7 linked regions of the Rattus norvegicus genome follow. The protein of the gene in region 3 interacts with the protein of the main gene of each other region in a pairwise test. Links are inferred from orthologs where the notes say so. Each region holds a gene or a part of one and is shown on either strand. Other genes may lie near its edges. The genes, in order: Gse1, Zfp451, Cdc5l, Myt1l, Wwc1, Kansl1 and Kalrn.

Region 1 (4,253 bases), on a different chromosome or scaffold from region 3:
CCTCCCAGCAGCGAGCGAACGCGAGGCTGGGTTCAGGAGGCGCTCGATAAATTCTCATTGACAGGAACACTCAGAAGCGTCACCTCCCAGGCTGTGGCCTGTGTGCCTGGGGGCGGGGGGAGAAAGGCCAGCGTGGGAAGTGAAGCCAGCACAGTACTGGCGGGCTGCACTTGGCCAGGCCGAGGAGATCTGAGACTCCATGGGGGCAGAAATTAAAGTGAGTCGGCAGGTCTGCCGCACAGCCACCAGGCTGAAATGTCACCTCAGACGAGGTTCTCTGCAGGTTAAACATGCTCTCTCGACCCGAGATCCCAGGAGAGGGAGGGAGAGGGAAAGACGTGGGCTAGGCCTCATAGAGGGATTGTGGCTGTTGCCACAACACGGGTAATTAACGTGCTCCCCCCACCAGAAGGCTCCTATCCAACCCCACCAGGCATTGGAGTAACCCAGGCTGGGCATTCCAAGGCTGCAGATGGGGCCAGGAAAAACCGGCCTTGCTGGCTCACTCCACAAGCCCCTGCGGGTTCCTGGGGGCAAGGGGGAAAAGTGGCAACTGGCTATTATTACACAGTGAGTCTCTAGGAAGGGGAGGGGGGGAACCAGCAGGGAGCCAAGGCTAGACCTCCTCCACGGCAGGGAAATAGACCACACCTGCCTGAAGGGTCAAGGCCAGCTGGGGACTCAGCGGGCTGGGGCTGATGGAGGGCCTGGAGGAGGTGCAGGCCCCTGGTCCACCACAAAGAGGCGCAGACCTCTTCTTCCCCCTTCCTCTGGCTAGAGGTGCAGAGTCCTGAGGTGGCTGCCTTTCTGCAAACCACACAGCCCTTTGAGATCTGCAGCTTCCAACTTCCTCCAGAGAGACAGGGAAGTTACTCACAGCCAGAGGCCTGCCTGCCTGCCAGCTCTGCCAAGAGCAACAGAGGCTTCCAAAGGGTCAAGCTTTTTCGGAACCTTCCTGACATTCCGACCCCATTAAAAACAGAATTGCCCCAGGTCATCCCCAAGGTTAGGGGGCCTGACAAGGCTTGGCTCCTAGTAATTTTAAAATGTTAAGTTTAAAGGAACTATATATATACACCCCCTTTCAACCCTAACCGGTCAGGATCCTAATAACTGCCCCCAACAGGTCAGGGCCTGATCTGGCCTCCTAGCCTTCCTGGTTCAGAACCTGCCCTAAGGCAGGCAGAACAGAGCCCAAAGCTAGGACAGGCCTCCCACCTCCTTTCCGAAGGCGGGGCTGACCCCGGGTCTCTGGCTGGCTGCTCACCAGCGCCTCCCCCCTCCCCCAGCCTCCTCCGCTCCTGCTGCCAGACCAGGCGACAAAAGCCAACCTTGTACCAAGCCATCAAGGCACCCCCCAGGAGGTGGTCAGGCGTGACCCGGTGCCTGTGAGAAGTGTTGAGCAAGCTGCTTCTGCACAGCAGAACCCGATCGGGTGAGCCTGCCAGCAACCCTGTTCCGGTCCACCCGGTGGGGCGTGACACCCAGCACAGCAGATGACACACGCTGCCAGTCGGAGCCTGTGCCCCGGCCCCCCTCACCTGTGGCGGGGCGACTGAGCGGCTGAGTCAGACACAGCCTGCGCCTCAGGTTCCCCGCCTGCGGGTGGGGGCGGCTGTAAACACAGGCTGAGCAACACTTAAGTAGCCAAGCTTAAGTAACACGGACGCCCAGGGAAGGCTGCTCGCCAGGGGGGGCCCTGTCTTCCTAGGGAAGAGGGGGTAAAACAGTCTCAGGCAAGAGACTGAGACACTGCCAAGCGCCCAGCCAAGACCTCCTGCCTTTGTCCCCTTTGCTGGAAATCGGCTTAGGCCCGATGCTCCCTCCTAGAGTGAGGCTGCGCCTTTTGTTCCGGCCCCCTTTACAAAAGGATCTTGTATTTTGCCCCCCCTCCATTTGGTGGTCCCGCTTTTTGTTTTCAAACCCCAACCTGTGTGGGCCCCAACCGCGACAGATAAGACACTGCAGGGGTCTAGCAAGGGTTTAGTGTGCTTTAAACGCATGGAGACAAAGGCTGGTTTGCAAGCACCAAACCGACCCAACTCGAGCTGGCACCCCCACCACGAGTGGCAGGTGCGCGGGGGCGCCCCTCGCTCGCTCCGGGCTCCGATACCCAGATCTGCGGCCCCTAGCCTGCTCCTCGCAGTCCTAAGCGGCCCCCTCCACCTCCCTGCGCTCGGAGAGGCGGGCAGCGGGGAGGGCAGCCCAGCTCCCGCTCCGCCTCCAAGAAGGGAATTTAATTAGCCTGCCGGAGAGGCGGCGGGCGACGAGGTGTCTCTGGTGCTGCAATATAATTGAATCGGCTCCACTCGGGCGGGCCACTCGCCGTCAGCGCGGCCGCGGGGGGCGGGGAGGCGCATCCAGGCGGAGCGGGAAGGGCCGGGCGGGGTCGCGGAGGCCCCCTGAACTGCCATCCCAGGCAAGGCGTCCCCCACACCGATCCAACCACCTGCCTGGGCACCCCCGCCCCATCCAAAGTTTTGCTTCAACCCCGAGCCCCGGAGCCGCCCCCGCACACTTCCCCGCGCACTTCCGCGGTCGCAGAGCTCGCTGCGCCCAGCGCGCGCGCGCAGCCGCGAGTGTGGCTTCAGGTCGGCCGCGCGCCCCGCGCTTCTCGTACCTCGCACCCGCGGGACCTGGCACCGGCCGTTGGCGCCCCTCCCGAGCCCACAAACTTGGGTAGGGGAAGAGCGAGGGAACCCCCGTCACCCCCCTACCCGCGCGCTCACCTTTCATGCCAGGGCCCCGCTGCTCCGCCGCGCCTGACACATGCCGGAGCCACCGTCGCCCGGGTTTGTCTGAACTGCTTATCTCACCCGGGGCTGTGCGGCGGCGGCTCGGCCGCTCGGGGAGGTGGAGCTTCCGGGGCCTGGGCCAAGAAACACCTGCTGCTGTCGCCGCTGAGGACACACCCAAGCGCAACGCCGCCCACTCCCCGGCCCCGGCTCGCTCCCGGCGCCCTGACCTCAGCCGGCGGGAGGTGTCGGGTTTCAGCCGCAAGCGCACGCGCGCGCACCGACGGACCGCCCGGAGCACCCAGCGCGGTCACAGCCCGCCGGGTAGGTGCCGCCCCCGCGCTCCTGGCGACCCGGGCTGGACAGTCGAGGGGGACCTCTTCGAGGCTTCGCGGGCCACTCATCTCCCAAGAGTAGAGAGGAGTGGCTTACAACACTCCTCTCCGCCTGCCATATCTGAGCCTCAAAGCCGCCTCCCCAAGCGCCTGGAACAGTGCCTGGCACCTGGCCACCCACTAAGAGAGGGGAGGGATAAACCCAGCGCTCAGGAGGACTTTCCTTGTGCTGAGTGGAGGGGACTACACAATATAGGCCGCTGGCCTCCCTCGCTCTCCAAGATGCCTGATCTATTACCGCAACTTTAAAGGATTTAATGTTAAGAGCTGGGGCCACGAGCCTCTGACCCAAAGTTTTGCAAAGTCTCCATCTTTAAGAAATTTTTGTGAAGGCCACACGGGGGGGGGGGGGGTCGAGTTCTTTAAAGAGCCCATGTTCGAGAAGCTTAAGTCCACGGAGGCGCCGCTGCGCCAGGGGCATCATTAAGTAGCTGGGGTTGCGGTCAGAGGCGAGGCCGCTGCCGCCGCCTCCAGAAACTGGCACAACCCACCGCGCCACCGGCCCCAGCGCACCGCCTTCCCATTCTTGATGCCCCCACCCACCCTACCTCACCCAGGCACTTCACCGGGATGACTCAGGGAGCGTCCTGAAATTCTTCGGCACCCACAGGCGGCGCGGAGAGGGACTGGGCCCCAGCGTCCCCGCCCCCAACGCGACCGGTCCCCAGGACGTCCCCTTCCCACCACCCGGGAGGCGCGGGGTTATAGGACAAGCCCGGCTGGGTCCCTCGGCCGGACCAAGCGCGCAAGGAGCAGCCAGAGAGATGGCAAGGTCGTCGCGAGGTCCCGGGGTCTCCCCCGCCCGCCCTCTCTACACTGCTCTCTAATGATCCTCCGCTTTCATACTTTCGAGCCTGGAGGCCACTGCACCTCCCCGGGGGGAGCACCTCAGCGCCGCTGCGGGTTTCAACTTTCCACGGCGGTGCCAGCCCCAAACCTGCCCCGGGACATGCCCGCGCAGTGCTCGGCAGGCGCGCGCTGCCTCCCCCGCCTTCCTCCCTCCCGCGCCAGCCGGGACAGCGCAGGGAGCGAGCGCGGGCGCCAGCACCCCCCGTCCATCTGTTCTCGATGACGCCGGCGGCGGGCAGCGCTCGGGGCCCGCGCCAGCAGAAGCCGCCGATGC
Region 2 (4,134 bases), about 20 Mb from region 3:
TCCCAGGAACTAGCTGACCGTAAAACACTGGAGACGTGAGGACTGTCCTTTGACTCTGGGAGATCCTCCTTGTGGGATCTTTGGCATTTCCCCCTGACGTCTTCTCCTTCCCTGGGTCTTGTGGTTTTTTCCCTTTAAATAGTCCCTCTCTTACCTGCTCGGGGTCGACACCCCTGTCTCCTGTGAGAGATATGTGTCGGTCCGGAATTCTGAAAATAAACCTTGCCTCTGCTTATTACATCAAGATTGGTCTCTCGTGTGTCTGGGGGCCTCGACTTCCCGATACTTGAGGGAGGGTCTCCCTGCGGAGATCTTTCACTCCTCCTCCTCCTCCTCCTCCTCCTCCTCCTCCTCCTCCTCCTCCTCCTCCTCCTCTTCTAGGATTACTACTACTACTACTACTACTACTACTACTACTACTACTACTATTACTAATACTCTTCTAGGATTTCGTGATGAAAGGTATTCAGACTTTAGCTGCTTTTACTTTCCTACCGAACCCTAAATTTTACACCTTTACTCCTTGCTCCTCTCTCTGGCCCTTTAGCGAGACTGAATACTTGGTAGCACTGGGAGGTAGAAGACATGAGAGAGATTGAATAGCTCGGGCGCTTCAGGTCGTGGACTTCACTGAAACCTACTCATCCATCCTTCTGGCCCGAAACAAAGACCACCAAGCTTTGCTTTCATAGCAGTATGATTACTAAAGGTCTGAAAGGGTTAACTGACATTACCAGATCTGTTTTCCACTGGATTCCTTTTGCACACACCTCTGTGTCCAAGTAATGAGCCTATCAACTCAACCTAGCCTGAAAAGAGCAAGGGAGAAACATGAAAGACCAGCAGCAGCCCTCTGGGACCTAATCAGTAATGCTTCTTTTAGTTTACAGGAACCATACGCAGTCTGATAACCTGTGGACAACAAGGAAAACACTTTGTGAGATTTCTGCAAGAATTAATGACCTCTCAGGAACGCCATATAAGCTCTTGCCCCTGCTGCCTTTCCAAGATGTAATTGGGATGAAAGCCTTCCATGTTTTCATCCGTCTCGCTTGTTGCCAGAGGAGCTCTTTCCCTGTCAATGTCTCTCAAGTTAAGGCGGCAGCAGAACGAGATTTCGCGTGGACTCAGAACTACCTCGAGACCCTCACTACCTCCTCCCGCCATCTTCCGGAGACGCAGGTTAGCGCTGAGCTCCAAGTCCTCGCCAGCTTTCCCCGCCAAGCGGTCCTCAGCCTCCAGGCCGGTGGAAACTACAACTCCCAGAATCCCTAGCGGGGCGGGAGGAAGGCGGGGAGCGTACAAAGCGGCGCTGGAAGCTAGCGGCAGTGAGGCCGCGCTTGGGGTCCGGCAGCTCTACGTCCCCGCGGCCCGAGGCGTCAGCTGCGTGGGCGCTCACGCAGGGCGGGTCGCGCGGTGCCGGGCGAGAGGGAAGTCGTGGCGGCGGCGTCGGCGTCGGGAACAGCAGCGGCGGCGGGAGCGTGGTGCTGACAGGCCGTGGGAGAAATGGGAGACCCAGGGCCGGAGGTGAGTGTGGCTGCCCGGGCCTTGGCTCCGCCGAGCCCGACCCCGAAGGGTTTGGTTTGTATTCTCAGCTTTGGGCCTCAGCCGGGCCGCGGCCTCGGGCGAGTGCGGGGCCTCCGGGCCTGGTGCACGTCTGTGTGTAGCCCTCAACAATGGCGGTCCGGCCGCCCCCAGCCCCTGGCCGCCCTAGCTGCAGCAGCCACAGCCCCGAGGGTGAGAAGGGATTGGAAGCAGGCTGGCCTTGTATTTGTAGCCTGTATCCCCGGTCCTAGAGGTTTAGAGCCTGCATCTCTGCACCTAGAGGAGGCGGGGAGGGAAATTGTGGCAGCTCGCTTGGGGAACTAGCTCCAAGACGCCTTTGCAAACCCGGTCTCCTCCATGCAGTTCCCAGAACCGGTTTTCCTGTGATCCTGCTGCTTCCCTTCAGGAGCTTTTGTCTTAACTCGTTCCTTTGGGAAGAATTTCTTCCTGCGATCCTGTGACTGAATAGATAAGCTTGTTTTGGCTTTTGTTTATAGATAATAGAATCTGTCCCACCAGCTGGGCCCGAGCCATCAGAGTCAACGGCGGATGAAAACGAAGATGACATTCAGTTTGTTAGTGTAAGTAGAGACTGACAATCGTGGTTTGCTGGAGTGAAAGTATGGTAAGCCTTTGTATGATTAAACCCCACCAGGCAGGCAGTTGTCACTCAACAGATAGGTCATGAATGTCGAAAGCTGCCCCACACTGGTGCAAGGGACTAATACCTGAAGGGATACCTAGATGCTTGCCTCAATGGGAAATTGAACAATTGCAGTAGCCACCTCGAAGTGGGTGTCATGTTAGGCATTTCTTGCACCTCCCAGGGCTTAATTTAACATCTGTACACAAAGGAAGACACACAAAAGCCTGGGAGGTAGGAATTAAGGGTTGTGTGGTGTATCTTCTAATAGCTGAGGACTTCCCTAACTTCTGAGGTCATCTTGTTACAGCACAGTACAATTGTTGGTCACAATGAGGAGGCCTGCATCACCTGCAGCACTGCTGTGTTTTTCTAAGTTTTATTCCTTTGGGGACAGAACTTCTCTAGCATTGAGTAGAAGCTGTAAGATCTGGGCCCACTCCAGACCTGTGGAATCAGAAACAGAGACTAGAGCCTAGGTATTGTTATTTTGAAATACAGTGGGGGACACTGGGATCTCCCAGTTGGTCCGGAAGTGATGGTGAGAGGGAAGAGGCAAGAGGGAGGAGAATCAGTTTTGGGTGATTTTTCACCTATGGTGGCTAAGTTTGTTCATCAGTTCTTCTTAGAGTAGTATGTGGCCAGAGAGCATCCCTGCTTTACATAGCTCTCCTGAAATGCTAAAGTTAGCTGAACTTGCCATTAAAGCTCTGTACTTACTGGTCAGCCCATATGTATTTGTTGCAGCCAACTGTAGACTAGTGCTTATTAAAGACCATCCTCGCCAACGTTGAGCCGTCAGTCATGTCAGTCTATTGGGTGTGGTGTGTTAGGGGGTTAAGAGGGAAGCCCTCCATAAAATCCTTTTCTTGGCACTTTTCCTATTGGACGCTGTCCTTTTCATTTTGATCTTTGGGGATCTGGAGTTAGGTTTGGGGATACATTGTGTCTTGTCCCTTTCTTCCCAATAGACGAGTTATTTTGAAGAAAGGAGAATGTTGGTGATTAGTACATGATATGTATGATAAAGGTTTATATGACTCCTTGAGACAAATATTTTGGATTGTTCATGAATCAGGTGTATTTGTAAACAATATTTACCTGATGCCTCATGCAAATGGCAGGAGTTAACCCTTAATTATAGAATGTGGCCTTTTGAGAAACTGATAAGAATACGGAAAGAGTAAGATTCAAAAAGTAAATTTTTTGGTTATATATCTTGTGAGGTGAAATACCATTATCATTTGTAACTGGTTAATTCAGGTGTCTGTTGATCCGAGTTTTAAAAGTAATATTTAAATTTAACTACAAAGGTAGGTCTGTCTTTGCATCAGGAATATGTAAAACGTGGCCCGTGTGTATAAGGCTATCACTTAAAGATAATGAGTGATAGCTTACTTTTATTTTATTTTATTTTTTTCAGAGCTGGGGACTGAACCCAGGGCCTTGCGCTTGCTAGGCAAGCGCTCTACCACTGAGCTAAATCCCCAACCCAGCTTACTTTTATTTTAAGGTACATTTAGAATCCTAGCAGTGGGGAGGTGATGGCAGAAGGATCCTGAAGTGGAAGGCAGTGTGACTTAGGAAGCTCTAGACCGCTGCGTTCTATATAGTGAAACCTTATGAAATAAACGATGCTGCTGTGCCACTGCAGCAGCCAGACCCCGAGACAGAAGCCTGAGCTCTGCAACAACAGTTCTGTCCCGTGGGGAGTTCCAGTCTACTAAAGATAAAAACCTGGCTTCTGCCTGAGTTGTCCAGATACAAGCTACATTATGATATGACTTCTTGGTTTACTTGGTCCTGGTTATCAGGTTGTAATTTATAACAAAAATATGTTGTATGTATGGCAGAATTGTACAAGAGCAAACTACCATTGGCCAAGAGGCTTTCTGTGTCTCACTAATGTAGGTAGCATGCTGAAAGGAGTAATACAGATACGCAGA
Region 3 (3,500 bases):
AGAGAGTGAATACTGCTCTGGAACAGGCCGGCGCTTTCAGTCCTTTGCCCACCTAACGCATCACATCAGGAGTTCTGAATAAAGTTTCCATGTCAAGATACGCTACCGTCACTGGTGTGAATGCAACATGCCTGCAACCCTGAGCACCTAGGGTGGAGAGACAGGGCGGTCAGCAGTCAGGGGTACCTTCAGTTACAGAGTAGTTTGAAGCCACCTGAGCCTCTGTGTTAAGGGGCAGGGGGAAACAGTGCTGTGGGCTTAGTATGAAACTGCCATTATCCAAGAGCTTCTCCCAGTATCCACGCCATCAAGTACTAAGAATCAAAGTTCCTGATATGAGCTGAGGGCAAATGTCACAACACCTAGGTTTCAGAATAGCTTCATCACTAATTCTTTATCTAATGTTCATAAGCAACTCTGAGTCTCTGCTGCTTCTGTTGGGAAGTTGAAACATACCTAAGCTGCCAATGCATGCCACAAAACTCATAGGATCAGACTGCTTTAAGAAGTCTCACCTAGACTCTTTGAAGACTTGGTCATGTCTCAGCCTTCTCAACCTTTTGGCTAAGACTGAAATGATCAGGCTCTTTTTAGTTCTCACCCTCCTGTAACTGTCTTTGCCTTATCATAGTTCCCAGCTCCATGTCTAAGGCAGACTTTACCTTTCAAAGTCAGGCACATACACATCTCTCTCATACTCGTCTGTGTCTTCAGTGTTCTTCTCCTCCCACTCCCTTTAAATGTAGGTGGGCTTGTGTTTCCCCTTGACAGAGAATACAGCAAGAGTAGCATGGCTTGATGTCCAAGGTTAGCTTAGAACCATGATGTAGCTTCTCTCCACACTCACACCTCTTATATCAGTCTGAGGTACCGGAGAGAAGTTCAATTGCCATGCTGAAGACGCATAAACCACATGCAGATGCAGACGTAAACTCATGCCATGCACCATGCTAAGTCACCAACCTATATCCAGCATCACTACCACACATGCAGGATGATACTCCATGTGTTCTAGCCACTACCTGTCAAGTCACCCTCAAATGCTGAGTCTTCTCAGCTGAGGTACTAGACATCTTAAGGCAGGGGGAAGTCACCTTTTGTGCCCTGTTTAAATCCCCAACCCACAGCAGTCACAAGTATAGTAAATTGTCTAAACTACTAAGAGGCAAAATGTAGACAACTAGAGCAAGACTTGCTCCATGATTCTGAGTATCTCTTCTCATGAAGAGTCTAGAATTTCATACTATCAAAAGTCCTGAGCATGCTTTGATATTCCAAATACAAAGTATCTCTTAGAAAGAGACAGACTTACAACTTCTACATAAGAGGAGAAAACAACACTACATCTAGAAGAGCAAAGGTAACATGACTCACTTTAGGTACCAGGATAATAAACACACAAAGGTAGAAAACACACTATCCTTAAAACCACCCTAAAACGGGGCTGGGGATTTAGCTCAGTGGTAGAGCGCTTACCTAGGAAGCGCAAGGCCCTGGGTTCGGTCCCCAGCTCCGAAAAAAAGAATAAAAAAAAAAAAAAAAACCACCCTAAAACAATATAACCAAATGACCCAGCAGAATACTGGCTCTTCTAGGAGCTGTCTCCTATTCTAGTCTGTCAACTTGATTATACTGAAAAATATATAATTATACTGAAATGTTCCCACAATCTCCCTCCCCTTTCTTTCCTCAAAAGCAAAATCAAAGTAAAAGGGTGCCACTAGGAGGCAGCAACTTGTGGGAGGCCCTTGCACATGCAGTGTCCTTCCTTGCACTGCTCTGCTCCATGCCCAGTGTTCTGAGGCAGCCGTGAGGACCTACAGCAGCAGGTCCACAATCTTTCAGGCACAGTGGCTACCAAGTACCAACAAATGGAAGGGAGGGATGGATAGATGGCTCAGAGGACAAAAGCACTGGCTGCTCTTAAAGACCCAGGCACAACTCCCAGCACATGTAATTGTCTGTAATTCAAGTTCCAAGAGCTCCAACACCCTCCTTTGACTATGCAGATTCGGCACACAAATAGTGCACATATATGTATGCAGAGAAACCATCCACACATACAAAACTTAAAAGCACAGAACTGCAAAATCTGTACTTCCCTGACAAGAACAATATGAAGGCAGAGGGGCAGAGGGGCAGGCCGGCACCAACATGCTGTGAATGAACAGACGGTCACCACTGAGCCTGCTAGTTCAGACCACTTAGCCTGCTAATTAGGTTTCTGTGCTATAAGAAATGCTCTGGGATCATGGCCATCAAACTGCTGGCCCAACCAATACACAACCAAACCATATGGTGTCCTCCACAGTGACACAAAGATGATCAAATCAACAGTGCCAGCATACCTGTAGAATCCTGTCTTGGGAGGCTGGAGTCCGTGGTGTTCTCAGAGCAATGCTGTTGTTTGTGACATTGTACTCAGACAGGAGAGTGCTAGAAGCAGAGTTTGTGATCCCAGACTCCTCCGCAGTCTGCCGTGCAACTTCACTGGCCTGGCCTACCTTGACAACTTCCTGGAGTTCAGCATCTGAAATCTAAAGGACAAGACCAGCCCTGTAATCCCTTTAACAGGAGCAGTGCAGCTTAAACATTCCATGTTTCAGAGAATGATTTGCTAAAGCTGGGTCAAGGGCAGAAAGACAAAGGCCTCTCTGTACCACTTAATTTCGCCTGGCTTTAAAATTTCCAAAATAAAATTTTAAGTCTTCCTTTTACTATGGGGGGAAAGTTCACATTATAAACAACTGGCTGCAATGGCTGTATTTCTGTATTTAAAACTGTTTTAGGATTTTTATTAATTCTTACAGAATTCCATACAATATTTACCGATATTTAACACCCCAAGTTCCTCCCAATATATTCCAACCTCCTCCCCACCCAGCTTTGTTTCCCCTTTGTAAATATAGAATGGATCATATATGTGCATGCCACCCTTACATGGGAGCCACACTAATCTTCATATCATCCCAATGGTGTGTACGCACTAGGCATAGTCAAAATGTTTTAAATCAATATATTGACAGATTTAATGCACCAAGAACATAAGTACTTGTACAAAACTATTAATGAGAAGATAATACTATTGAAAAATCAACTAAATATCACACAGTCCACTAAACCTCAAGATCTCTAGGAAAATCTAAAAGTGTACTTCTGTAATTTTACCAAAAGAAATATCCTTAGAAATATTAAAGAAAAATTCAATTAAGAACTACCAAGAACTGCCACCACTCAAAGCGGGAGCACATAACAGAACTGTGCTCATGCGCTCACCGATGGACTTTTCTCCACGTGGCTCTCCATTAAACTATGGTTTCTTGAGCATTAAGCACAGGCCTGAGACAGCAGCCCACCTCTATTTACTGAGTCTGATGTAAGCTTGTAAATCCACAGGATGATAGACTGTTCCAGTTACCTGAGGGGCAGGCAGCACAAGTTTGCTTCTCTTTTTAGTAAACTCAGAGACACCACTAGTTTGAAGGATAGCAGATGGTAAA
Region 4 (3,989 bases), on a different chromosome or scaffold from region 3:
TCTCTTTAGTGTATGAGAACATACCACAGCACAGAATTGTAAAGGAAATAAGCTCAAGTGACATTTTGGAAGAAAACTATTGACATTTTTTTTCTGTTCATAGGCATAACATGTGGTACAGGGCAGAGCTCCTGGGATACAGAGCCCCCAGTGCGACCACTGCCCACAGAGCAGCTAAGACAGGGCACCGGACATTTGAAATCTCACGGATGAATTACATGGTTTAGCTATGGAAGGCTGTAATCTCTTCTAAAGTTGATATCCAACCTCAGAGGGAAAGTTAAAAATAAAAGAAAATAAAACAAAAAGTCCCCTTAGAAATCACATTTTCAGGCTGGTTCCTATGAACATATTTCCAGCTCAGAGACAGCTCATTGTCTCTGGATCAAGCCCCTATCAACTGCAAGGAACCTTGAAAGCTGACAGGACTGCAAGCGGCAAAAGTAACTCCCTCAAGTGGAAACTCCGGTGACATAATTGTGGCCCTTTTAAAAAAAAAAATGGAATGGCCTTCACCTGTGAGAGGAAGCAGGCACAAAGGAAGCCTCTTGAATAAGTGACATTCAAGGGCTTCCCTGCTCCTAAATGGCCAAGCAGAGGGTAAAAAGGAAAGGCTAATGTCTGCTCCAAGAAAGTTATAGCCCATCAGAAAACAAGAGAGTTATTTTACTCACAAAGATGGACCCAACTCCAACTCTGCAAGGGAACTGGCATGGGAGAGGAGTATGGCACAGCCTCCCTCTAGGTAGGAGTTCAGGAAAAAAAAAATGAGAACTCTTGGGTATTCGTTACTTTGGACTAGACATTTAAAACCCAAGTTGTTTTTCTCTCCCCACATTCTGGCTTCCTGGCTAATTTTTTGAATGTGATAGAAGCAACATTTGTATGCACTTATAGGATAATTGAGATTTTCCCTATTATGCAAAAAAAATACATCTTAATGTGAATATCCAGAAACTTGCAATTTAAGCAGGAAAATAATCAGGCAAGTTCTACATACCAGGGACAAGCCTGCTCCCAGGGTGTCACACCTGAGGCTTTGGGTTCACTGAAGGTATTCGTTGCTTTTAATTTTATAAAGGCATATTTTCTGAAACAGAACCAATCACACCCACTCAGCACACACAGCCCCCCCCCCCCCCGCCAAAGTTGTATTTCTGTCACATACTCGCTCTCATTTCTAAAGTCTAGCAACACTTTGAAAAAGCTTTTAAAAATTCAAAATGAAAGCATGGCATGCCCTAAAACATCCGAGAAACTACAGCGATCCAGTTAAGAGACTGTGCTGTCTATTGAAGTTTAACTTTAAAAACAAACTAAATAATTAGGTCAGTTAAAATGCACACCTTTCCCTCTAAGGAGGGTAGGAATCCTTAAGACAGGAAAGGACTCTTCATCAGTGACTCTCGCCAGAAGCATCTTGAACTGAATTTTGAAACACCCATGCTCCAGCAAGCTAGTCCCAGAATTATATAAGAAATCTATGCCACTGTTGACAATAGAAACTCCAGGCTCCAGGAAGCCTCGTTATTACTCATGAACTCAGAAAACTGATTTGGAAAAAAAATATCATTTTTTTTCTCAAAAGAACTCAGTATCAAAGGTTGTACTCATTTAACATTTGCCCTCTGTGCATCCTACAGACCTACAAAAAGCATCAGTTCAGTTCCCACTGTCCCCAATAAGTAACTGGTTAAATGAGCTAAAATCTCCTTCCAGCTAGGAAAAATATATACTAGTCAAAACTAATTATGTCTAGCTTTCATCAAAACAACATTTGCTAATTCTGCTGGTCTCCATACACTGTCCCAGAAAATATTAATGAAACCCGTTGAATAATGGCTGCTGTAAATTTCTGAAAACACTAATCTCTAAACAGTTAATTTTCACTTCACACTTATGCATGGAAGATGGATGAAGAGGCCACCCGAGCACCAGCAAAAGACTATTCTTTTGTTATTGCCCTTAAGAGTTGAACTTTGCTCCACTTTGGGAAGCGCAGCCACAGCTCCAGAAACAACAGGACACATTTACCTGGAGGGGATTTCAAAGAGAAACCTGAAGAATGGATTTTCTGCTCCTGCAGTCCCTCTGCGCACCTTCAGCTAAGCCAGTCTCTGACAAGCAATTGTTCCCACGGCAGCCACCCCTGCCTTCCATCTCAGGGACTCACCCAGAAAATTCTCCAGCCTGCTCCGCGACTACAAAACTCTTCTAATGCTTTTGAACGCCCACCATTTGTTCTCCATTCATCCAATCAACTTCGAACCGCACATCTTCTCTCTATCGGCGCGCAGACACGGGGCCACTTCTCATCTGTATGCTAATTATTTTGCCACATGGACAAAAGTAATAATGCTTTCAGACAGGAAACTAACAGGCCTGAAGTCGAAGATGGAAATTAATAAGTTGACACCACTAAACGCCGGGGAAGACGGGCATGCGTGCAGAGCCCTGCCTGGTGGATGCGGCGCAGCCTCCATCAGCAGGCAGCAGACAGACGGCCCTGGGCCGCCAGCACTGCCCAGGCTGCGAGCATCAGGCACAGGTTTCCTTAGAGACCACATCGCTGCCGCAGAGGCACACCGGGAGCATCCTGCTGACTTACCCTGCTCGGGCGGGCTGCTGTCCTTTAAGCAACACAAAACGCAGCCATTTCCTCAAACCCTAACTTCATCACTGATCTAGACGTTTCTCAACCTAACAGCTGTGAGTTAAAACCAGTAATTTCTAGCCTTCCTGTTTACTAGGCTTTCAGCAGTCAGGCAAGATTGGGATGTGTGCTGTGTGCTTCCTACACTGTACCCACAGGCCTCTAAATCTCTAGAGCCGAGTGTGTGATGTGCAGTGCTGTATTTAATGTAATAGATGAGAACTGTAAATACGGAGGCTTACTGTTGGCTGCTATCCGCTAGGTGATGCATCTCAGAAAATCTCCCCTATCGTTGACGTTATGGTAAATGCATATAGTGGTCCAAGAAACCTCACCAAAGTCAGCAGAACCTTGGTGTTTTCACTGGAACTACAGCTACACATCAAAACAAATCAAAAAGGCATCCGGGCCTCCCCTGGCAGTTCTTAAGACTGGAGAACGGGCACCAGAGAGTTAACTCAAGGGTTCCCACCATCTCCCTGGCTTATCAGCCACACTACAGTATCCCATCCGGGCACAAGCTCCTTTTATCATTTTCCTTTAAAACAAGAGACAGAACTATTCTCTGAGTAACTTTTAGCACTACCGGCTTATGATACCAGCATTTGAAGAAGAGAAAACACAAAAAGTTTATTTTAAAAAAGAACAGACCCAGTAAGATGCCAAAACCACAAAAAGAAAATAGCTATATGACTTTCTGTGCCATTTGGGGTTTTTTTGTTTGTTTGGGGTTTTTTGTTTTGTTTTGTCCCCACCCCCACCCCCAGGTGCTGATTCTATAAATAGTCTCTTAGGGCAAGCAACAAATGCTTTTCTGTGGAAGTAGCTGTCCCCTTCCCTCACCAGCCTCTTGGTAGAGCACACTCGGTCATAAAGGCTGCTTGGTACCTCCCCCTCCTGGAAGCTAGCTTTGACATCCAGACTCCTGGGGAGAACAACTCTGGGAGACTACAGACAAGCAATCATAGGCATGTTCATCTGAGGGGCAGCTGTAGCCAAGAGAGTCCATCCTTGGCCCTCTGTACCCCAAATCATGCCATCCTGTCATAGTGTGTAACCAAAAAAAGAGTGGAGGGTGGCCAGGCAGGTGGAGAAATGGCTATGGGAACTACTTAAGAGACTCTCCGAAATCACTCAGAGGAGTTGGAAGCTGCGGCAGCCAGGCAAATAAGCAACCACATGTCACCTTTAAAGGAAAGGGAAGAGGTACCTCTCTGCAGATGAGTTGGTGGCCATCAGCAAGTCCTTCTCAGCAGTCTGTCTCACTCATGCAGCTCCTCAACTGCCATGGAGAGCCCCAGGCACGTGTGGTCACAGATCCCTCCGTGTTTGCATT
Region 5 (3,500 bases), on a different chromosome or scaffold from region 3:
GGCTGCCATGAACCAACAAAAGGTTCTAGAATCCAGTAGCTGTTCAGTTCATGAGCCTGGATGTCTCAGCTGGTCGTCAGTATACCCCAGAATCCCAAATAGCAGGCTCTCATTCCAGTGAAGGAATAGGCTTGCCAGCAAGGACAAAAACAAGCGCGCGTGCGCGCACACACACACACACACACACACACACACACACACACACACACACACACACAGAGTGTCCTTCTATAGGCAGCCATCAGAAGGAGTGGCCCGTATTATAGGTAAATCTTCCTACCTCAAAAGATCTGGATTAAAGGTTTATTTTAGGGGTTGGGGATTTAGCTCAGTGGTAGAGTGCTTGCCTAGCAAGCACAAGGCCCTGGGTTCGGTCTCCAGCTCCGAAAAAAAGAAAAGAAAAAAAAAGGTTTATTTTATTTTCCCACCCCAAAGATTGGGATTAGCAGTCGATCTTCCCAGTTTAAATTAATTAAAAGAAAAAGAAATCCCTCACAAACGTGCCCAGCCATTTGGATTTCAGTTCATTCCAGAGGTGGCCAAGTGGATAACCAAGAATAGCTATCACAGATGTGAAATCACAGGCCTTCTTCCCTTGTCTCAGGATGAGAGGGACCTTACCTGAGTGTTCAGAGGTACTGCAGTTCACTGGGACCATCAGGAGAGCAGGGCGGAGTTGCATGGCTTCTGAACATGACTTTCCCTCTCTCATCTTCCCCTCTACCCACTACAGCTGCAAGTGTGGCCCCAGGGTGTGGCCTCAAAGTGGCCTGTGTGTCCGCTGCAGTGTCTGATGAGTCAGTGGCCGGGGACAGCGGCGTGTATGAGGCTTCCATGCAGAGGTGGGTTCGCAGACGTCGTTCTGTTCTGGGAGGGGGCGGGTCTCTGGGCTCTGGATGTTCAAGCCCATGTTCCACAGAATGCGGTAGGGCTCCAGTGACCTCCAGGGCCATGCCCAACATAAGGACAGCAAGATGCAGGTGGTGTCCAAGGCTCCTCCAGCAAATGTGGGTTCTGGGCGACAACTGCCAAGTGTAACCATGGAACTGGATGCTACAGAAAGGGAGTCTATTGTAGAGTGGGCTCCCAAGCACAAGGGAAAGCGAGGGTCCAGAGAAACACTGGGCACACACCAAGAACCCTGATTCCAGAAAAAGCCTTTGTTGGCGGGCAGGAAGCTAACCCCTTCCTCCGGTGTCTTTCAGACTAGGTACTTCTGAGGCTGCTGCATTCGACAGCGACGAGTCGGAAGCTGTGGGTGTCACTCAGGTTCAGATTGCCCTGAAGTAAGTGATGGGGGGACAAGGACAGAGGGAGGGCTTACATAGGACCTCTTCTCCACTGACCATATTGTACCTTCCTGGCTATCCAGGGAAGAAGAGAACCCACTATCCTTGGTGGGCTCTTGAATAGAGGGATACTGTCCCCTTCACCACAGATGAGGAAGGCCAAGTTTCTTGTAGCTGGTATTGAGCGGGACAGAGGCAGATGACATAGGCGTCCTGTTTACATAGCATCTACTTTTTAAGGTAGTCTTTCCATCCCCATCTAGGTTCCAGTGTTCCTACCCCAGGCTGACCCCGGGGACCATAGCCCAGCTCTGACTGATACATGCATTGCTGTCACTGCTGGCTTCTCTCCCTGGGGGTGGTTTCTATGTTTTCTTATGTAAACATTTTAATGTCAGAAATACTCACACGAACTTCTGGTACCTCTGTAAAAATTGAGCCGAGTGGGCCAGTTGGGTGACTTCCCCAGTCAAAGCATTTACCGTGAGAGCCTGAGATCGATCTCCAGAACCCACAGGGGGTCAGGGACGGGGAGAACTGACTTCCAAAAGTTGTCCCCTGACCTCCAAATGTGTCCCATGGTGTGTGCACACATGCACTCATATCGACTCCCTCTAACCATAATAATTAATAAAGTAACATTTGAGAAACTTAAAAAACTAAAAAGGAGCTTGAAAGACCGACTTGGTGGTTAAGAGTCATCAGTAAAGCTGCTCTTACAGAGGGCTCAGGTTTGATTCCCAACATATACTGGTGGATCACAACAGCCTAAAACTATACACACACATGCACGCACGCACATGCACACACTTAAAAATATATGTCTCTAAAGTAAAATAATCCAAGCATGGTAGTGCATATCTTTAATCCCTGCACTCAGGAGGCAGAGTGCAGACGAACCTCTTGAGTTTGAGGCCAGCCTGGTCTACATAAGCAAGTTCCAGGCTGGCCAAGGCTACATAACCAGACTTCGTCTCAGTAATAAACAAAGAAGTAAATAAATAAGAATTCTGATGACTGCCAGTTCTGGACCTGTGTCTATCTGGTCATGGCCACAAAGCTGAGGGTGAGCGCTGTCTAGCTTACCACACTGGACAGAGAAGCCAGCAGCCGTGACCTATAATTGCCAAGAAAGAAAATGTGGGGCATGGTGACACACACCCTTAGTCCTGGCACTGAGAATGCAAGGTAGAAGGATCTCTGGGAGTTCAAGGCCAGCCTGGTCTATACAGGCTAGCCAAGGATACACAGTGAGCCTCTGTTCTTTAAAAAAAAGAAAGAAACAAGGGAGGGAGGGAGGGAGGGAGGGAGGGAGGGAGGGAGGGAGGGAGGGAGGGAATGATATCCTAACCGGTGTTCTACATGTCCCTTCATTTCAGATATGATGAGAAGAGTAAGCAGTTTGCAATATTAGTCATCCAGCTGAGTAACCTCTCTGCCCTGTTACTACAGCAAGATCAGAAAGTGTGAGTATTGAGTATTGCGTGTCACCCTGTCACCTGCTGTGCTTCTCCCTGGGAAAGCTCTTTAGCTCCATCTTGCTCCAACTCCAAACACCACTTCGGCTATTTCCTGCCGGTGAGCATGCTGGGGCTGCCCATGCACACACAGGCCCAATGGCAAGCTCACCAGCTTTGGAAAGTGCCACTGTAGGTAGCTCTCCCACTTCCTGGTACAGCCTGGATGCCCACCACACACTGCTCTAGGAATGCTGGGCGTGCCGATCCCCCGTGGAAACCTCCTGGACTGTGACCTCATGAGAACAGTCAGGTCCCTGTTGTCCTCTGTAGGCAGAAATGACTCTCTGGTTGTCTAGCCAACATTGGAAGTGTGTGACTGGTGTTACCTGGAGGCCACTAGGTTGGCAAGCGCCAACACTGTCTGCCTGCACCCCTGCTGTAGACTGGGCTTATGTTATATTGCAATCATTCACCCTTACATCCACCATAAGGCCTGGAGAACTACGGTAGTTGCGACCTGGGGTAGGGTGGGGGAGGGGGTCAGAGAAGACTGACAAAGCCCAAGGAAGACCAGACTGGCTTAGCTTATCTCTATTGTCTGCCCCCTCAAACAATGCTAGAACCAGAAACGCCCGCCGGGTTCTCTTAGGTCCTTGTGCATGGCCATCTGTGCCTAGGAGCACAAGGTCTACCCAGACAAAGACAAACACATTTGTAGTCCCGTTAGAATTGTTGGTAAAGTGTTTGCTAT
Region 6 (4,223 bases), on a different chromosome or scaffold from region 3:
GGCAGAACACTCAGACACATAAAAATACACATCTTGTAGAACAAACTATATTTTAGTACAAGCAGCGTTCTTGGGGCTTCTCTGTAGCCCAGATGATCCTCTGCAGTGAATCTGGTCTGTGTCCTCAGGTTTCCTAAATGCATTTGATACGATGAAAAAAATTCTGGGAGAATCCTTATGTGTCAATAAGACTGAAAAAGTTAAGATTTCTGGCTTATGGGTATTTTCTTTTTAGTTCTTACTGTCACATGTCTACTATGGCCTAAAAACAGTTCTCTAAGTGTAGCCTCAAGACCTAAGGATCTCTCATAGTTTTAGTATTCTTGCTCCTCTGCCTTCGTGCTGTTTTGCCATTATTTTAGCTGGTTTTTTGTTTTGTTTTGTTTTGTTTTCCGATTTGAGAAAGTTGATCGTTCAGTATGTTGACTCCTCATTTGTGGATTGTTTAGTCTCCCCAGTGTTTTGGAATTCCTCAGAACACACTTATTACTGGTATTTAAAACAAACTAAAAGGTAAGACTCCCCAGTACATGTGAATGCTGTCCTGGTTTTCTTAGATAACCATTTTGTTTCAAAATATTTGGATTCAAAATATTTTTTCTTTTCTTTCTTTTTTTTTTTTTTTTGAAATAGTCTCTTTGTAGCCCAGGCTGGCTTTTGCACTTAATAATTTTCTGCATGAGTTTCTTGTGCTATAATCACAAGCATATGGATCATGCTATGATAATTAATATTATTTTAGCTGTAATGTTTGTGGATGGCACAAAAATCAGTATCTACAAAGGATGTGCCTGAGAGATTAAGTATTCCTCTTCCTTGGTCTGCTGAGAACTCCATGTCATCCAGGAGGCAACCACTGTTAACACCTCTGAGAGTGATTTTTGACTCAGCTTTCTCTCAATTCCTTCCTGGTCTGTGAGATGTATGGCCTTTCCAGGCCCTCAGGACCTCAAATCTGGTTGACTTTAAAAACAAACATTTATATATGTGTATATTTTATGTACATATACAAAATCTCTCCCTATGGCCTTCCGGGCCGGGTTCTCATCACATCGCTTCCTGGATGAAGAACCTGGAAGGGTGAGGTGAGGGGCAGGGGTTGGGGGTGACAGAGAAGGGGACCTGAGGGACTGAGGCCAGGGGTTGAGTGGTGGACTGCTGTGAAGCACTGTAGGGATTCCTATTCTTATTTCTCCCACCAGGCCGCCCTCCAGCTCCGTCCAGCTCAAGCCTCTCCTTTCCTAGGGCCGAGACAGAGACAGAGAGATACAGAGACAGAGACGCCAAGGCACCAGCATCTCTCCCCCCCTCCCCATCCCGCCCCATAGCTCTGACGGACGTCCACTCTTAGCCAATGGTGCTCGCGAATTGCCCTCGGCGGGCCAATGGGAGACAGAGGAGGGCGGAAGCTTGCCCGCCCCCCACTCTAGGCTTGGTTGAGCCGTGCAGGTAGGTCTGGGGCCGGGGGAGCTGCCGTTGGCACTGCTGCCCCGGGGGGTGGGGGCGCGGCGGGTCGGGGTGATGGTGGTGCAGGGTGGCGTGTCTGGGCCGGAGGACGCCGTGGGGGGCGCCGTCGCGGGGCGGCGGGAGGTTGAGGGGTCGCGGGAGCCGGCGCCGCGGAGGGCCCTGAAGGCGGCCGGTCTGAGGACGCGGGGACGCGTGTGTGGGGCGCGGGGACCCTCGGCCGGCGCCCACCCTCAAGGCCTCGGCCTCCGGCCGTGGACCGCGGCGTGCCGGGCGACGAGTGGCCACAGGGCCCGGGAGGGGGGCACCGAGCACAGCCGGGGGCGCCAGGCCGAGCGAGGTGGGACGGACCGTGGCAGGACGGGAAGCGGCATCCCGCGGGCCGCCCCCTCCTGAGGCGAGTCGGTCAACAGCCACGGGCCCCGGGCCGCGAGCCCCAGCCACGGCCGCCCCCCTCCTAACAATGGGGACCGGGCCGGAGGAGTCGTGGGCCGCGGGGGATGGGAGAGGCTCCCGGACGAGGGTCCGAGGCGGGGGAGGGGCGCGGACTCGAGCTCGCTGGGATCTCGGCCCCGCGGTCCTGTAGAGCTGGGGTCCTGTAGAGCTGGGGTCGCGTCGCGGGGTAGTGTGTGGGGGTGCCCAGGCTCGCCTGAGAGTCGGGTCAAGAGTCAAACTCCCGTCCCCACCCCCCAAAATCCAATGAGCGCTAGGCAAAGTGATGCCAAGTGTCCCTAACCGAAGTGACAAACGTGGAGACAGCAAACCCACTCCAGAGCTTTATTTTTAAAACGGGGACATCGACTCTGATTTTAAGAAATTATTTTTAAAGAGGTGAGTGTGTTATTTTTGTGTTCCTACTCGGGCAAGCCTCCATTTTAAGTGAAGCAGTAACTGGTTAAGCTGGAATTTTCATTCAGGCCTAGGACATAGGCTCCTAGAAGGAGTCATTTAGTCCATTCTTCTGAGTCCCTGCAAACTTAACACCCTCCATCTTCAAAATTAATTCCTCTGGTCTGCTTTTAAAAATCTCTGGAAAAGAATGGTCTTTTCTTTTTTGCTTGTACTTCGGTGAGGAATAGATGCTACTTACTTTTTTAATGTAGTTTCAGCTCTGAAACAATTTTAAGAAAAGTTAAAAACTGGAATTGTCAGAAGTTTTTTTTTTTTTGTTTGTTTACCAAATAAAATAGTTGTACATCTTTTTAGATAGTTAATAAATTATTTTCAGTAGTGTTTATGAAATACTCTGGTAGTAATAACTTTTCCTTTAGGATTTTAGTTTTCTGAACCTTTGATAAGTAATTTTCAGTTACTTAAGATTTACGTTGTTCTTTGATATAAAATATATTTCTACACACACACACAGAGATAAACATATGCCCTTTACAAAGGGAATTTTATATTGTATCTTTTTCCTTCTTGGGGGGTTTTGAGACCATCTCAATAAGTAGCTCTCACCTGGCCCAGAACTCACTGTGTCTACCAGGCTGGTGTTGAACTGGTAGATAACAGCCTGCTTCAGTCTCCTCTGAGTGCTAGGACTAAAGTGCACCACGCCCAGCACTTGTACACTTTTTAAGCAACTAGTATTGAATGCCTTTCCCAGATAGATTAAGCTATTTACATATGCTATTTTTTCCATCTAAGTGAAAAAAATTCTTCCTTTTCAGATCTCCTTAATTCCTTATCCGTGGTAACTGGGGAATTACTTAGTCTCTTCCTGCTTATTTCTGAGTTGTCTGAACTATTCCTGACACTATGTATGCTATTTGGATGCCTCTTAAGGTAAGATATATTTGCTTTTCGTTATTTTTATTTTGTTATTTCATATATGTATTTTAGAATCAAGAATACTTGTTCCCGTGTGTTTTGAGTCAGGGTTTCAGAGTCCAGGCTGCTCTGGAACTTTGTAGTTTGCTGAGCATGGCCTTAACTTCATGTATTTGCTGCCTCTACGTTCCAAATGCTAGGATTATAGGTGTTTGCTACTAGGTCTAGATCTACCTAGAATGTTCTTGAACCTGTGGCTCTTCAGGATACCCATCCTTAGAACCATTAGGTTCTTAGGATTTGTTATTGCTGTTCTTGATTGCTGCTGTTCAGACATTAGTGAAGTTCTTAAATTAACTCTATAAGGATGGGTTCCAGTTTTTACTTATTATAGCTTACATCTTGTGAAATTATGTTCCACCTGGTAGATGTGTTGCCAATTCAGACCTTGAGGTCCATTTTCAAACTGGTACTTCAGAGTCATATGAACTTGGGCGTGTCCCACTTTTGCAAATCAGTAGCTGATTCATGTGTTACAAAAGATGTGTCATTAACCATTTGATTGCTCTGACATTTCACGCAGTATATGTGTTTATTCTTCAAATGCCCTGCTGCTCCTCAGGCCAATGTGTGAGTCCTTACACTTTTTTTTCAACAGGTGGCCATTGTGCCCTTTCCTTTTCCAGGGTGTGCAAGATACGCCTCATTTGGGCAATGTGGACATGTGACCATTTGATAAAAAGATAGTTCTTTAAGTCTCTTGTGGCTCTTTCTGTTCAGAGATGGCAAAAGAACTCTCTAGTAGGACTGAGCTGTGAAAAGTGAGGAGATGAGAGAAAGGACCAAGGCAAGATCAACAGTGAAGTCTGTCAGCCTCTCCTTCCCTGATAGTTAGATACTGGTGTAGCTGGGATTCCAGCATAGTGCAGTGGGAGAGCCCTAGTGCAGTCTGAATAACCTAAACATTTGGACTTTTGGGAAATCTTTAG
Region 7 (4,265 bases), on a different chromosome or scaffold from region 3:
CAATGCTACTTTCAAGTTCAAATCCTGGTTCTTACTTAACACCTCTTGGCCTTCTGCCTCAGCTTCCTCCTCTATGACTGGAAAGACCAGCATTTTATTCACAGAGGAACTATGAGGCTCAGCACGAAGGAGGGAAGCTCCTGGTGTCACAGGTAAGTGAAGCAGACAAAAGGTTCTCTTTGCCCTTCTCCCCTGCCCCTACAAAATGGTTCGCTATAGTTCTGACCTTCTAATCCTATGCCCCTGATCCAATACCTCCTGTCAGGGCCCCTTCTCTCCGTACCCCTTCTTAGGGTCAAACCCTAAATCTTCCAATGTCTGACTCAAATGCCACAGAGTCCAGGCCGTCCCCAATCTTCCTTCCTTTATACGTCATCTTCAATCCACTTTCTCTTCTGTATACAATTTGTCTACCTTACCGAAACATAAACGACATGGAGTTCAGATCTGCTCCTTAATCTTCAAGGTGCCTAATGTAGTGCCTTATCTCAGAAGCATTCAAGTGACTTTTACTTCAATCTTTAATGCAAGTGAGTGTCGACTGACTGAAAGAACAAGCAAGGGATTCTAGGTAACCCACACCTTTCCACGTGGAAGGCAGGAGAAGCGTTGACTATCGCTTGACTGTAGCACGTCAGCCTCTGGACACTGACTCAGGCTTGCAGACGTTTCAAGAGCAGGAGCAGAGTGCTCTATTCTTGCCTCCCTTGAGGCTGCTTGGTCAGTAGGCTGGCCACTTACATGAGAAGGCTGTCCCTCGGGTGACAGGGGATCCTGATCACAGAAAGGAAAGCAGAGGGGACTCCAGGTGTAGAGCACCTCCATTCAACAGCCAAGTGCACATTCCCCACAGCTGTTTTTCGGCTTACCTATGGCAGCTTCTACTCCCAGCCTCCTGGTCTCCATCAGGCATCTGGAGTCAAAGGGGCTCTCCTCCAGCATCTGCCATTTCTGGGACTCATCACCCATTGGGTCAAACCCAAGAGGAAGCTGTTCAGCCTGGAATTTTACTCTCGGTTGGCTTCAATCCTTTAAGTAGGGCGTCTTGGTGCTCTCCAGCCCACCCCCACTCATTTCTGCTATTCCCACAGAGCCCCATAAGCCTTCCTTTAAAAGAGCCAAAAGAAATAGTTTGCATGTTTCTAAAGGACTCAGACTAGGCAGGAGGCACGTCCAGGAACTAGCAGGAAGAGGGAGAAAGTAGGTGGAGCCACAATCTCCACCCCTTGCCCTGCCCAGTATCCTTCTTACCTCTTAAAGGGCAGCTGTGGGACACAGCGGAGTCCTCACCACCCAAGGAGATACCTCTCAGGCTCTGTTAGTGCAATTTTGTTACTGCCTTAAATGGACAAGAATCTCGTGAGTCATTAACACAAAAATGCAAAGTCCTCTCCTCTCTGGAGAGAAATGGTCCATAGTCCTCCCTTTTGTGAATAACAAGACTCTATGGCTCACTCACATGTGGCCAGTACTTCTTAGCTCACAAAGTACTTTCGCATCTGTCAGCTCCTTTGGGCCCTAACCACCCCGAGAGCTCTGTTGGAGAAGAATTACCTTCCCTGTCTAAAGAGAACCAAAGTCATCTTTCAAGAAGTTGAACAAGTTTCAAATGGTACATAGGTGTGAGCTGGCTCCCCCTCATCACGTTTTCTGGACCTTGACATTCCCTAGAGAATGTAGCACCTTTCCTGGAGAGGTGGAAGACCTTCACAGTGGGGCTATGCTAACAGCAGTGCTCAAGAAGCAGGGGCAGTGCCAGCATGCCACAGGCACAGAATATATGATGACTGACAAACAAGCCTTTGATATGTCCCATTGGTCAGTGGCTTACAGTTGGCCAGAGAGCGCATTTCCAAATAAGAATGCCAAAGTCATTTTTTCCTAAAGCCTCTTAAATGAAACTTGAAATGTGAGACTCCTACCGCAACAGAAGACCTGGACAGAGAGGGACTGTGGGAGGAGCATCACCTGGGGAACAGACAGGCAGCCCTCATGCCCTTATAAGCACATATATAAACTATAACTCTCTATTGGTGCTGATAGTGGGCCTGAAGGAGGAGGCCAACTGGAGCTCCTCTCTTACTTGGTGTCATTCTCTACAGAAGAAAGAATTAAGAACAACATGGGTGCACGCACCTCGCCACACACAGTGAGCCCTGGAACACAGCATCACCCATTGGGTCAAACCCAGGAGGAAGCTATTCAGCCTGGAATTTTACTCTCAGTTGGCTTCAGTCCTTTAAGCAGGGCGTCTTGGTGCTTCCCAGCCCACCGCCGCTCATTTCTGCTATTCCCACAGAGCCTTGTAAGCCTTCCTTTAAAACAGCCATGGTAGAAGTTGAATAAAATGTTCTAAGAGACTGCTAGGCTTGCCATTCAGCTGTGGTGCAATTAGAAAGGACAGAACGTTGCCAGGACAGGACCTTATTAGGTAGGTAGGGTGTTGTTGTTGTTATTGTTTTGTCTTAAACAATGATAGGACGGTGGCTCTTTCATGATAGCCAAAGCGGGGGCAGCCATTCCTGTCTGTGTGGCTCTTTCCCCCTCCGCTGAAATCAGTGACTGCAGGCCAATAGCACCCAACCACTGCAGAGGGCTGCTGCCTGCCTGGTTCCTCTGCAGATACTCACTGCCACAACCACGATGTGTTCCCTTCCCTTCGGCGTTCCTTCTTCCTTTCTTGGCACTGTTCTCTCTCCATCTTTTCACCCACCCAAAAGAAGAAACACTGTGTTCTCAACCGGATAAAGCCAGCATAAGTGGATGGAGCAGAAGGCAAGAAGAAGTGAGGGAGGAGAGAACCAATCAGGTCCCAGAGAGTTCCCCACTCACCTCCCAGGACAACCGGGACCTCTGCTCCCTCAGTGGCACAATCCACATGCCTCAGATGCGTGCAGCTAACCGGCAAGTAAAGGCCACACGTGAGGTGGCACAGCTGCTGGTATCTGTGAACCAGAATGAAGACTGCTCAACAGACACCGTGTTCTCCTCCTACCCCACACCAGGAAGTAGGCTCAGCCAGCCAACCATTTTGCCCTGCAAGTTGTGCTTTGGCTCCAACATGAACCAAACCCTCTGGCAGACACCATCCTCAGTCACCTTCCACAGCACTTCTGTCCCCTCAGCAAATACTGCCCAAGCGGTAAGTGGAAGTCAGGACATCTCGGAAACACCATCTAGGGAATGGTGTGGACGCTTGCCAGCCTCTCCTGTGAGAGCCGGGTGTCCCCAGGTGAACACACTCCTTGGGTCCTCACATGAGGACAATATCTGAAAGACTTATCACCCAGACTCTGAAATCTAAGTCCACCTCTCCCAAGAGGCCTCTCCAGCTAATGTCACCATTCTCATCTCAGAGTTCTCAAAGTTTAATGGGCAGCAGATTCACCTTGGAGGGGTGGCAGTTCATGCAGATGCCGCACTCCCAGAGGCCTGAATCTTTACTCAGCTCCCCTGGGTGATTCTTTGATGGTGATCTGTCTGCTCTGTCACAGCTCTCCTCTCTTACTTTCAGCACTGGCTTCATTTCAGTATTTTGGTTAAACTCCACAAAGTACCCTGCCTGCCCACACACCCTAGGAGTCCAGGACAGAGGAACCCTGAGTTCTCTCTCCTGGAAGGCTCTCCAAAGTAGAGAGAGATCTAGCAGAGGACCACACAGGAAGGGGTAGACAAAATGGCTCTTAGACACACAATTGATCCTTGGCTCCCTTTGAGCTTCAGAAAACATTCCTTCTGCCCCAGGTCCACTGCCGATCTGTACGATGGCTTTAAATGTCACCTCAAGACAGGGCTGATTGGCCTGCACTGACCCTGCCATTTATGTAGCTTTCCCGTTGTTTACCACTGACCTCAGGGAGATCTCTCTCTCTCTCCTAATCTAGAAAGAGATCACAAAACCTCTTACAGCACCAGCTTAAAACCATTCTGTCAAGTAGAAGAAATCTACCCTCACCCTTCCCTGTCCTCCTCTGAGGACTCCTTCTTCTCCAGCAAACCACAAGAAGCTCCCCACTGCACCAAACTCCACCTTCAGGGCACCACCCCAACAGCCCAACCAACTGACAGAGCTGTTTCTCAGCCGTATAAGGTTCCTCTATCTGGGTCTGCTTCCTCTGAGCTAGGTCCCATGCACAGAGGTATAATAAACTGATCCCTTCTTCAGTGTCTTAATAAGAAATTAATACTAGGCCCTTAAGAAATAGTCACACTTTGGAAAAGGGTGACACCCTAAGGCAGTAGAAGACAAGTGAAGTCTATACATC

Evidence for each region.
Region 1: the proteins of Cdc5l (region 3) and Gse1 interact in a two-hybrid assay, tested with the Homo sapiens proteins (2 studies listed by BioGRID and IntAct). The link is inferred for Rattus norvegicus from reciprocal best matches to the Homo sapiens genes CDC5L and GSE1.
Region 2: the proteins of Cdc5l (region 3) and Zfp451 interact in a two-hybrid assay, tested with the Homo sapiens proteins (2 studies listed by BioGRID and IntAct). The link is inferred for Rattus norvegicus from reciprocal best matches to the Homo sapiens genes CDC5L and ZNF451.
Region 4: the proteins of Cdc5l (region 3) and Myt1l interact in a two-hybrid assay, tested with the Homo sapiens proteins (2 studies listed by BioGRID and IntAct). The link is inferred for Rattus norvegicus from reciprocal best matches to the Homo sapiens genes CDC5L and MYT1L.
Region 5: the proteins of Cdc5l (region 3) and Wwc1 interact in a two-hybrid assay, tested with the Homo sapiens proteins (2 studies listed by BioGRID and IntAct). The link is inferred for Rattus norvegicus from reciprocal best matches to the Homo sapiens genes CDC5L and WWC1.
Region 6: the proteins of Cdc5l (region 3) and Kansl1 interact in binary tests that used the Homo sapiens proteins (3 or more experiments, as listed by UniProt). The link is inferred for Rattus norvegicus from reciprocal best matches to the Homo sapiens genes CDC5L and KANSL1.
Region 7: the proteins of Cdc5l (region 3) and Kalrn interact in a two-hybrid assay, tested with the Homo sapiens proteins (2 studies listed by BioGRID and IntAct). The link is inferred for Rattus norvegicus from reciprocal best matches to the Homo sapiens genes CDC5L and KALRN.

Annotation. Positions count from the first base shown.
Region 1 is NC_086037.1:65,493,207-65,497,459, reverse strand, and holds the start of Gse1 (Gse1 coiled-coil protein), read right to left. Parts: upstream 2,801-4,253; 5' UTR 2,737-2,800; coding exon 2,730-2,736; intron 1-2,729.
Region 2 is NC_086027.1:43,533,807-43,537,940, reverse strand, and holds the start of Zfp451 (E3 SUMO-protein ligase ZNF451), read left to right. Parts: upstream 1-1,334; 5' UTR 1,335-1,506; coding exon 1,507-1,527; intron 1,528-2,042; coding exon 2,043-2,126; intron 2,127-2,177; exon of another isoform or gene 2,178-2,667; intron 2,668-4,134. UniProt on the Homo sapiens protein: E3 SUMO-protein ligase; has a preference for SUMO2 and SUMO3 and facilitates UBE2I/UBC9-mediated sumoylation of target proteins. Plays a role in protein SUMO2 modification in response to stress caused by DNA damage and by proteasome inhibitors (in vitro).
Region 3 is NC_086027.1:23,075,897-23,079,396, reverse strand, and holds part of Cdc5l (cell division cycle 5-like protein), read right to left. Parts: coding exon 3,419-3,500; intron 2,538-3,418; coding exon 2,349-2,537; intron 1-2,348.
Region 4 is NC_086024.1:51,897,893-51,901,881, reverse strand, and holds the start of Myt1l (myelin transcription factor 1-like protein), read right to left. Parts: upstream 2,801-3,989; 5' UTR 2,174-2,800; exon of another isoform or gene 2,035-2,173; intron 1,461-2,034; exon of another isoform or gene 1,347-1,460; intron 1-1,346. UniProt on the Homo sapiens protein: Transcription factor that plays a key role in neuronal differentiation by specifically repressing expression of non-neuronal genes during neuron differentiation.
Region 5 is NC_086028.1:20,832,938-20,836,437, reverse strand, and holds part of Wwc1 (protein KIBRA), read left to right. Parts: intron 1-733; coding exon 734-842; intron 843-1,205; coding exon 1,206-1,286; intron 1,287-2,668; coding exon 2,669-2,755; intron 2,756-3,500. UniProt on the Homo sapiens protein: Regulator of the Hippo signaling pathway, also known as the Salvador-Warts-Hippo (SWH) pathway.
Region 6 is NC_086028.1:89,865,821-89,870,043, reverse strand, and holds the start of Kansl1 (KAT8 regulatory NSL complex subunit 1), read left to right. Parts: upstream 1-1,423; 5' UTR 1,424-1,449; intron 1,450-2,624; exon of another isoform or gene 2,625-3,134; 5' UTR 3,135-3,249; intron 3,250-4,223. UniProt on the Homo sapiens protein: Non-catalytic component of the NSL histone acetyltransferase complex, a multiprotein complex that mediates histone H4 acetylation at 'Lys-5'- and 'Lys-8' (H4K5ac and H4K8ac) at transcription start sites and promotes transcription initiation.
Region 7 is NC_086029.1:79,755,284-79,759,548, reverse strand, and holds the start of Kalrn (kalirin), read right to left. Parts: upstream 2,801-4,265; 5' UTR 1-2,800. UniProt on the Homo sapiens protein: Promotes the exchange of GDP by GTP. Activates specific Rho GTPase family members, thereby inducing various signaling mechanisms that regulate neuronal shape, growth, and plasticity, through their effects on the actin cytoskeleton.